Oryzias latipes: one gene and its partners. The main gene of each other region encodes a partner of the protein of the gene in region 3 in a complex. Links are inferred from orthologs where the notes say so. Each region holds a gene or a part of one and is shown on either strand. Other genes may lie near its edges. The genes, in order: eaf1, ELL-associated factor 2 and cdk9.

Evidence for each region.
Region 1: cdk9 (region 3) and eaf1 share a complex: the UniProt entries of both Homo sapiens proteins name them as parts of the super elongation complex. The link is inferred for Oryzias latipes from reciprocal best matches to the Homo sapiens genes CDK9 and EAF1.
Region 2: cdk9 (region 3) and ELL-associated factor 2 share a complex: the UniProt entries of both Homo sapiens proteins name them as parts of the super elongation complex. The link is inferred for Oryzias latipes from reciprocal best matches to the Homo sapiens genes CDK9 and EAF2.

Annotation. Positions count from the first base shown.
Region 1 is NC_019874.2:26,172,677-26,176,979, forward strand, and holds the start of eaf1 (ELL-associated factor 1), read right to left. Parts: upstream 2,849-4,303; 5' UTR 2,703-2,848; coding exon 2,600-2,702; intron 1,251-2,599; coding exon 1,156-1,250; intron 821-1,155; coding exon 684-820; intron 557-683; coding exon 384-556; intron 225-383; coding exon 3-224; intron 1-2. Other genes in the region: mettl6 (methyltransferase-like protein 6), read left to right, coding at 3,298-3,570, 3,964-4,098. UniProt on the Homo sapiens protein: Acts as a transcriptional transactivator of ELL and ELL2 elongation activities.
Region 2 is NC_019879.2:4,940,245-4,943,898, reverse strand, and holds part of ELL-associated factor 2, read left to right. Parts: intron 1-798; coding exon 799-935; intron 936-2,708; coding exon 2,709-2,884; intron 2,885-3,024; coding exon 3,025-3,261; intron 3,262-3,654. UniProt on the Homo sapiens protein: Acts as a transcriptional transactivator of TCEA1 elongation activity. Acts as a transcriptional transactivator of ELL and ELL2 elongation activities. Potent inducer of apoptosis in prostatic and non-prostatic cell lines.
Region 3 is NC_019870.2:30,294,851-30,297,582, reverse strand, and holds the end of cdk9 (cyclin-dependent kinase 9), read left to right. Parts: intron 1-1,328; coding exon 1,329-1,477; intron 1,478-1,545; coding exon 1,546-1,911; 3' UTR 1,912-2,117; downstream 2,118-2,732. UniProt on the Homo sapiens protein: Protein kinase involved in the regulation of transcription.

The DNA of each region.
Region 1 (4,303 bases), on a different chromosome or scaffold from region 3:
ACGAAGTGTGTTCATGAGCTGGTTGTTGCCCTGCTGGCGCTCCATCCCTCCGTTGGCCATGGGGTTGCGGCTGGGGGAGTTCTGGCTGAGCGGCCGGGGAGCATCGCCCTCGCCGTCGCTGCTGCTGCTGTCGTCGCCGCTCCCCGAGGAGCTGGCTGAGTCTGAGGAGCTGCTGCTGCCGCTGCTGCTCATCTGTTCAATCATCTCCACCTCTGCCCGCAGCTCTGTCGACAGCAGCAAGATCAGCATTTCATATTTCAAGGTCTTGTCTTTTTTTGTACTCACATTTGTCCAAATGTTTTTCATTCTTTGTCATCTTTAGCAGGGTTTTTTCTGAGAAATCATGACTTTGTAAAACACCAACAGTGCAGGAACCTCCTCACCTCTCTTAATGTCGTCCAGCTGAGGCTCTGGAGAGGGGTTGTCCTTAGATGGGGATGGGGATGTTTTGATCCCAGTTCCCGGCTTGGTTGGGGCTCGGAACTGAGAGCCGGGCTGGCTGGAACGAACCGACTGCTGCTCAATCCGAGCCTGGATCTTACTGCTGCCCTCCGCTCTGTTCGCACAGATACATACATCAGCCAACTTTTCCTCATCTTGAGCAATTTAAAGATCTTATAGACAATACACATCTACTACCCAAAGTCAGCAGGACTCTGGAAACCAGGACACTGACATCCCACCTTGTTTTCTTAACCTGGATGCTGCTGCTGAGCTTCTCCAGTACAAATTCGCCCGTGTCATGATTAATGATGAGCACGCAATCCTTTTGATACGGTCGCTTGTTTCCTTTAAATACTGTCATTGGAGGTGTGGAGCCCTGAAAGACAAAGAACAGGTAGTTGCAGTTTTATGTATTTAAAGCTTGGAAAAGGGCCCTTTTAGAAGGTTACATCAAAATCAAAAAAACTACATCATCTTGTTCAAGAGCAGTGTTATAGTGAAGATAAACAGACTTTTTCAGTCACAATTCTAGGATACATTCAGAACATAATTTTTTTAGACACATGATTGCTTAGATTTTTTGACTGCACTGTGACTGATCAAAACAGCTGTCAGACCTTTTTGTGACAGAAAACATGAGTCAGCAGAGATCAGGCAGATCATGATGTGCATGCATCTCTGACCAGATTGTTAAAAAGAGGAAAGCCTTACTGGAATATGAGGTAACGTTATTGTAACTTCATCTCCTTTTCCGACCTGTAGCTTCCCTTCACAGCTGGTGTCAATCGATGCTGGTTTGAAGTCATCTGGAAATGAAATGTATCGAGTCAAATTTGTGTTCTCCCTGATTGCCTATTTTTTTATTTAGAGGGAAACACCGTGAACTGGCATTCACACATATATGGAATTATAATTACAGTTGGAGAATAACTACCTGGAAGGGAAAAACAACCAAAATACAAAAAAGCAATTACAGTAATTTCATACTAGCATAAGATGAAAAAAATAATGTGGGTTGTTTTCCCTGGCTGCATTTGTAATTCTATCAACTATAATAAATGAGATAAAATGCTAATTTAATACAGATAATTTTTTGTTCTGTACAAAACAAATTGAATATGTTTTATAACACTATAAATCAATTGCATTCAAAGTTTGAATTTAACATGACCACTTTCTCCGGAGAATGCCCCAAGGTGACTTTTACTGAGATCTAAAAGTGAACTAATGAGTAAATGGAATACTGTGACGCGGGGAGGTCAGTGTTTAAAATAGGACATCACATGCATCATAAAACCCTTTTACTACAACAGCTCTGTAACACGGATGGTTTCTCTCCCAAGTCCAGCCAAAGTCTATTTTGACACACAAGTTCAAAATACAACACAGGCTTTGACTCAAAGCAATTGAATCGTTTCTTTTTTTTGCATTTCTATTTTAATTTTTGTTTACATTTTTCAAACTGTCTTCACATAACTGGTCATGGAAACAATATGATTGAACCTGAGTGAATAACAGTATGAATTTTTTTAATAAAAGTAAACAGAAAAGCTTTTTAGTGTAAATAAAATGCAATTCCAAGCCTAGGCGTCACAATAAAAGTGTTTTGGTATCAATAATAAATCCTATATTGTGAAACATCTACTTCAAACATCTACTTCAATAAAGCAACACGAATCCTCTGAGAAAAACTGGATATCTCTAAATACCACACTGAACAAGAAACACGATGAAGACTATAAACCGTTGTCCCTGCATCCAGTTGTTTTATTCAGCATTTATGCCCCAACAATCCAGATTGTGTTTATTACAACAGATAGGATCTGCATTTTATTTTGAAGGAGAATTTCAATTGCCACTCCATGTGGAGCTGGAGGCTAAAAAATGAGTCCTGGTTGGAGGCAAATATAAAAAACTTGTTTCTCACAAAAAATTAGATAAACTTTGGTGTAGTAAAATAAGTATTGGGTAGTTAATAGCATAAAGTGTAAAAGCTCAACCAAAAAAACAAACTGCTTTTATCTTCAAATGACTGAAAAGTATTGAAGAGAGTCTTGGAGAGAGAGCCTCTACATTTACAGCAGATAACCAGCCGCACTCCAGAGTTTGTTAAGAACTTAAAGGTCTTGTAAACACAACGCGGTCTCACGCTCACATCGGATGGTGTGAAAGGAAGATTTTGGCCTCTTCTCAAAGCTTTCTCCGAGCTTCAAAACATGCTCCTCTTTGTCCAGCAGCGGGTTTGTACTACCGTTCATGGTTCAGTTTGTCTAAAAGTCTAACATTTACGTATATTGGTAATAAGAAGTGAGCTAACAGTCGCAACTGGGAAGAAACAGGATAATCCAACTGGAAGATAAAACTAGCTGCAGAAGCTAACAGTTAGCAAAACATCCCTGACGTCACTGTGCTCTCTTTTGATTTTGGTTCGACTATGAACTACCTCTAAGATCAGACGGCGGCAAAAACTGTGATAAAACTTGGTTGTCTTATTAAATGATAATTTGCATTTAGATTAGTTTTTTATCAAACAGAATTATTTTAGTACATTTTAGTTTCATAAACAATTTATATAAAAAGCCAGATGGCAACGCGGAATGCAATTACGTGCACTCATCGGAAGGATTTCGTGAACGTACACAACAGAGGAAATGAAAAGAATTGTTTGAAATTGAAGTAGGGTTTTTTATTGTAGATTTAGCTTATTCAACCTTTTATTTTATATTGTTTTATTGAAAACGTAATAAACTGCATAAATGTTCAGGAATAACAACTGAAAATGTCGTAAATTAATGACTTTGTACAAAGAAAGACGGAAAAAAATCTCCAAAAACTTTAAAGCAGCGTGGAAATATGATGAACCGAGCCGAAGATACCGAGTCTACGGACGACACACCAACATGCCTGTCCGGACAAACGAAAACATCTTCCTCCAGAGATTTAACCCAGGAGGAGCAGGGTAGATTCAAAACTGAGCGAGTTCTTGTATCTGAGTTCAAACAAATAAAACTGGAGAAAGAAGCTCGAAAAAACTGGGACTTGTTTTACAAAAGAAACGCCACAAATTTCTTCAAAGACAGACACTGGACAACCAGGGAATTTGAAGAACTCAAAGAGTGTCGTGAGGTAAGATTACTTTTATACATGGACTTACCAGTCTTCATCTGTTTCTATTTCTTGTTTTATACTCACAAAATAAATAATCTTCTATTTAACATGTAGAACATTCTATCTATCAAATAGGGATTTCTTTCTTCTTCTTCAGATTATTTATAAATGTTAAATTATCTAGTAATTACGCCATTTTTTAAAACCCTAAATCATATATTAATTAATAAATTAAAATATATTAATATGAATAATATATTCACATTAATTACTTAAATGTAATATTAAAATATTAAACTATACTCTATTTATGCTTCTTTAAAGTTTAAGATGCTGAAAAATATTGTAGGTCAGATGGCCAAACAAGCTTATTAAACTAATGTCCAGTTATTCTTGTGCTTTGCTTCACAGTTTGAGTCCCAGAAGTTGGTTTTGTTGGAAGCTGGCTGCGGCGTGGGAAACTGCCTCTTTCCTTTGCTGGAGGACGACCTCAACATATTTGTTTACGCCTGTGACTTCTCCCCACGAGCTGTTGAGTTTGTAAAAGTGAGGCATTTCCCACAACAACTTTGTTCTTATTATAATGTCTTTATAAGCCTTGTCCTATATTTTCTTCCCTTTTTTCCTCCTTTATATTGCTTCATTTTAGAAAGTTTTTTTATTTGAACTTATGTAAAACTGAGTACCAAAGTATTTTCTTTATTTTGTAAATATCACACAAATTGTCACTAAAGATGTTAATTTTTTCATC
Region 2 (3,654 bases), on a different chromosome or scaffold from region 3:
ATGGTTTTAAAGATGATTGCTTAAAAGTAATCCTTAGATCGTATGTATACATTTAATGCCCTTTGACTGTACACTTAAAAGAAAAATAGTACTGAAAAAAAAACAAGGATAGATGTACTAGACCCCCTCTAGTACATCTATCCTTGTTTTTTTTTCAGTACTATTATTGTCAGCGATTGTGACACAGTCACCAAATTCTCAGTATTTGTTTGTGAATAACCTGGATGTAGCCGTAGTCTAAAAAATCTTGGATTCTAGGCATCATCTACTTGACGGTGAAGATGCACGGCATCTGGAGGTGGCTGTATTGGTGCTTTTTTTTTTTTTAAGGGCCTAACAGTAGCCACCATACTTTAAACCACTGTCTGGTCCATGTCGGTCTATCCAAAACACATCTTTGTAACAAAAATTGGCACTTTTTTAGCTTCAAGGTCTTCAATTTGGGCTGAGTGGTAACTTGATTGGAGTCATTCTGGTCTAAAACAAATCTACTGCCATATTCCTTAATGGTTGTTTGCTGCATTAGGCTCATTTTGATGTCAAATAACAGCATAAAGGGCCAAACGTCGTAAATAATAAGCTTCATATAAAACGATCGCTATTTGCTATCATCTAGAATGAAGGTACCGTCACACCGCTCAGCCCTACATACATCCACTTTCAGTAGCTGCTTTGTCCCGGGCAGGGTTTTGTGTGTTGCTGGAGCCTATCCCAACTTTTTTAATGACAAAGCCAGGGTACGTCCTGGATAGGTCACCAGTCTAAACACACTCTTCTTGCCGAAATTTCTCTTTTTAGGGGTCAAGTGCTCCAGTAACAGTCTTCAAGGGATCCAAGAGGCCATACATGAAGGAGTGCATCCTCATTGTGAACCACGATACAGGAGAGTATAGACTGGAGAAACTCAACAGCAACATAGCTGTGAAGAAGACCAGGTGAAAAACAAACTAAGTTACGTTTTTAATGAAGTCATGTCTTTTTTTTTACATCCTCGTACACCAAATTTCCCAAAGCCCTGTTGAAAATAAAGTTTTTCAACATTTGTTAAGTTGGTTGTTGGTTGCTGGTATGTGTTGCCCTCAGCGGTGCTGTGTAAATATACTAGAGATTGCCCGTTTGACCCGGACGCGTCGGCGCTTGTTTCACCTTTCACTTGCGTTTGAACAGTTGCTATTCTCTATAAAAACAAATAAATCCCAAGCAACGTTTCCCAACCAGTTCTGTTGTTTCCCCTGTATCGGAGTCAACGTCAGTTCATGGCACTTTGCCATGGCTCCTGGTAAAAAACGTTCTGTGGCTTGGGATCATTTCAACTTAGTTTCTCCTAATAAGGCAATACACTATTAACAAGGGGTTTAACGGTACACGTAGTTGTACCGAACCGTTTCAGTACGGCAATTTTGGTTCGGTTCACTTTTGTACCGTTTTGGAGGGGGGGTTGTTTTTGTTTTTTACCCCCCCCTCCCCAAATGTTTTCACTTTGCGCTGAGGCGGAACTAATGTTAACCGCGAGTTTCCGCCAAGACGCCATGTTGTGGAATGAGTGTGCCGGTGTGTCTGCGCTCGCGTGGTCAGGAAGGAGGGGATCAGCGTAAGAGAGTGTGTGAGCTCGCGTTCAGGGTGTGTTGCTCAGTTCTGCGGAACAGTAATAAAAAAGGTTTCCTCCAAAAGAACGAAGACTGGTTCATTTATTGACCCGCCCTGGAGGCTCTGAGGGTCCGAACGGGGAAGTGAACCCTGAAGGACGATCCGCCATCATCCCCGGAGAGGACCTCCCCTGCATTTTCCGACCACGGTCAGAAACCTTATCGCAGGAAAGGTTCAACGGCGATTAGGTGACTGAGGTGACAGTTAGCATGTCAACATATGGCTAATGCAGGCGCGAGGCCAGAGCTTGAGGACCCCCCCATCTCCTTACGCTCTCCTGAGTGGGAACACTTGGCTTTGTTGTCAGCATCCATGAAGGGAAAAGACAGTTGGATATGTCGAATGCTGTGTGTCAACATTGTTACACAAAGATAGCGTATGCCACAGTAACACATCTAATCCGTTAACAAACTTAAAACGGCATCACCGAACTGTAACAATCAGGTCTACAAGAAGAAAAAATGTGCAAGTTAAAATGTATCCAAAGTTTGTGGTTTCCTGAGTTGTATTATTTTATATAGCAGATCACCTACATAGGTCGATTTTATTTATTGTTATATAAAACCAATAAATGCATTTTGTAAGTAATTTTTTTCTGCCTTTTTTTACCGAAAAAATACCATAAATGTACCGAAATGAGCCCCATGAAATTCTGAACCTGATGTTTGTTTTGCAGAGTCAAGAAAGCACTTCTCACAGAAATCCTCACACATTGTGTTGTTTTATGTTTTGTTTTTTTAAATTATAATTTCCACATTGAAGCGTTACAAGGAGCTTAGTTGAAGCAGATGATATACGTTCAATCCGCCACTAGATGCCGCTGTTCAGTGTGGTTTCAAAGCCCTGAATGGTTGTTTCATTTTTCCAGCACAATTACATGAGCCCTGTGAAAGCTTCGTGGAGCTTCTACTCTCATCCCTAAAATAAACTGAACTGGATTGATGAAGTTTCCATGTTGACTTGTTTAGACATTTGCAGCTTAAAAATATAAAGTGTGGGTTGTAAACTTGTCAACAACAACTCAATCCTTCCTTCTCCGTCTCATGTGCATGGATCTCCAGGGCTGAGGGCAGCAGCAAAATTCACTCTCGCCTGGAGCAGCAGACCAGTCGCCTTAGCCAACAGGTGAAGAGCACCACCACCACCAGCAGCAGTAGTAAGACCTCTACCAGCTCGAAGAGCTCTCCTGTCAAAGAAAAGACCTCTCCGGCGTCTCCCATGGATGACATTGAGAGAGGTAACAAGTTGTCAAATATGTTTTCCAGACATTTTTTCTGCTTGGACTAAGTTGTTCTGATGATTAAAATCACCATTTTTTGTCTGCTAAGTATATAATAACATCTGCATGGATTTCTGTCCTTGCTACTCACTGTGCAGAATTAATGGCAGAGGCGCGGGTCATGGACCAGCTGAGCAGCGGCGGCAGCTCCTCGGACTCCAACAGCTCGTCATCCTCCAGCAGCGAGGAAAGCTCCAGCAGCAGCGACTCGGAGGGCGAACAGGCTCGTGCACCGCCCTCAGCACCTCCTAACCAGAGCATGCCCATCATCACCACCAGCTCCAACAAACCCAGCCACCATCAGGAAAGCGGAGGGGGAATTATGAACACTCTAAGTAAGTACCCCAGTCGTTTAATGCTATCACAACCCATTACATGCCGAGGAATCATTAAGACAACCTTCATTTGTGAAGTCGTGGTCTCTGCTGTTTCTTGCGAAACATTCTAAATTCTAACGCTACCAATGCTCAAATGGCGGAGATGTGAGGAGGAAAGCAGCAAGGTGGATACAATATTGTCCGTTGGAACTTCCATGAAGGCAGACTTTTCTGCAAGGTTTGACAAACTGTTAATGGCAGTCGAAGACATAAAAAGGGAACTGAGTGATTGCGCTGAACGAGTGACGCAAACGGAGGTGCACATTTCCAAAACGGAAGATGACATCAGCGTTTTGCAGGCCAAGGTGAGCGCACTGGAAACAAAAGAAAAAGCTCTGGAGGACAAAGTCA
Region 3 (2,732 bases):
CAAACCGCTGAGGAACGCTGGAAACGTGGAATTTAAACATTAGAATGTCGTCTTTCAGGGCTTTGTGCAAAAACGGAACATTCCTGCTGTTGTCTTGGTGATTTCACATTTATGTTGTTGGAAAGTAAATCTGCAGCAGATCAGCAAAAAAAGAAAGATGGGACCAAACGACAAGAAAAAAGCCTTCATAGTATATATTTAAGTACTTGTACACACATCACATCCAAGCATTTGTTCATCGAGGTCTATTTATTAAACATTACCGACCTTTGAACTCACGATATTCCCATTGTAAAAAACCACCCAGATCCAGGAAGTCTTCTGGTTCATCTGGGAAACGACAAAAGAATATTTAAAAACGGAGCAACGATGTCCGGCTTTACCACCTTCCCTGCTGCTACCAGCCCGTCGCACTGGGACAGACAGCAGCGTCTTTGTCCCGCCACGGCGCCAGGACAACAAGCCTTCAAACTGGGTCACGGCGGTACCGCTGAACGCCACTGTACACGCGTGTGCCGGACCATGGCAGGGATCCGTGTGGATCGGGGATCAGAAATAAAAGCCGTGTTTGGACACGGCTCAGTGTTTCAGGATGTCTGGTAGAAATCCAGCGTTGCAGTCTAGAAAACAGATCCGGGTCAACGACACCAAGAGGTCCGGTTATTCATCCGGTTATCCGTGACACATGTTGGAGCCTAAAGCTTCCTGTGCGTTTATGGACCGGTAACCATCTTGTGCTGTATCACTGTGAAGCAGTACTATGGAGAGTGTTTAGTAGTAATATTATGCGTGGTGACGACGCGACTCCAGTCGTTCATTTGTGAAATGATTTTTTTTAAAAAGTGACGTGACTGGATTCAGGGTTTGGGGCCAGAATGGAGGATTGACTGAGCTGGGAGTGAAGAAACAAGAGAACCAAAAGGTTTTAACGGACACTTTCTGCTTCAGTACTTCAGACGTAGATCGGTTTCTACATTTGAACTTGTTACAAGAAGAACCAGACCTAATAGAAATGTCGTCTTCCAGACATGAGGAGTGTCTGTCACTGATCATGTAAATATATGTGCACAGCTGTAAAATTAAAAAATGCGGACTGTAAATACTTTTCACAGCTCTGGTTTGGGGCTCCTATGCGACCCAGATGCTGCATGGCCCCTTTTTGCGGCCCCGACTCCTGCAGAAACGGTTCCGGAAAACGACGCGGGTTTCAGGTTACATGGCTGAAAACGTCGTGGTCGTCAGGGAAACGGGTCTTTAGAGGCTGACGAGTCGAGAAGCAGACGGCTTCAACAGGAAACCAATCGCGTTCCTGTTCTCCTTCCCTGCAGGGGAGCGCGACTACGGCCCCCCCATCGATCTGTGGGGGGCGGGCTGCATCATGGCGGAGATGTGGACCAGAAGTCCCATCATGCAAGGCAACACGGAGCAGCACCAGCTCACCCTGATCAGCCAGCTGTGTGGCTCCATCACTGCAGAGGCGAGTGGTCTTTGGGGGCGGGGCTCTGCGTTGCAGCAGCTCGCTGTCAATCATTTCTGTTTCTCCAGGTGTGGCCCGGCGTGGACAAAAAGTATGAACTGTACCAGAAAATGGAGCTTCCCAAAGGCCAGAAGAGGAAGGTCAAGGACCGCCTCAAAGCCTACGTGAAGGACGCCTACGCCCTGGATCTCATCGACAAGCTGCTGGTTCTGGACCCGGCTCAGCGCATAGACAGCGACGACGCCCTGAACCACGACTTCTTCTGGTCCGACCCCATGCCCTCAGACCTCAAGAACATGCTGTCCACTCACAACACGTCCATGTTTGAGTACCTGGCCCCGCCCAGACGGAGGGGGCACATCCCCCAACAGCAGCCCAACCAGAACCGAAACCCGGCCACGACCAGTCAGACGGAGTTCGACCGAGTCTTTTAGCCCCACTGGACGTCTTGGACCGAGTTTGACCGGAGACTCTGCTGTGAGGCCAGTTATGATCAAACGTTCAGGTTTTATGGGATCAGGAATGAAACGGACAGAAATGCTCCTTTATCCAGAATCTGGTAGCTTTTTCAGTTGAACTGATTGTTTTCATTCAAATGTTCTTTGTAATAAAGCAACACAATCGTGAACATTTATGGAAACGTCTGAATGCAAAGCAGGAAAGTGGTTTTTACTTGTGTGAGTCGGTTAGAGAGGAAGTGACGATGAGAGCCGCAGACACTAAACCCTCTGAGCTTTTGACTTAAACGCCGTCATTGTTCCTTTGGGATGTTTAGGAGGGGGAGGAGCTACCTGGATTCATGGTTTGTGGCATGTTCTACAATTGAGCCAGAAGGAAAACTAACGTGTTTGTTTACATGTGGAAGCACGTAAACATGGAAACCCCTGAAGGTAATTGGGTCCAACGACCCGGAAAACGGTTGACTGAGCCAGACCGCAGTACAGGACCGTTGTAGGTCTGTGTATTCCCGGCTGGATTCTGATGAGACCGTTTAGCGTGACGGCATCAGAACGCGACGTCTTTATTCCATCATGGATGGACGTGTGCACGGAAGAGCAAAGCCACAAACCTGAGAGGACGGACAGAGCAGAGGCTGTTCAGTCTAAGGGCTGCTCAGCAGACCCACCGGCTGCAGGAAAAGGCTTCCTGAGTGAGGTCGGTCAGAGATCTGCTGCGGCGGCGTTGGATTCAGAGACCGGAAGAAGACGAGGGTCGACACTGGAACATCTGTTCCCAGGACGAAGGACAGAACAGG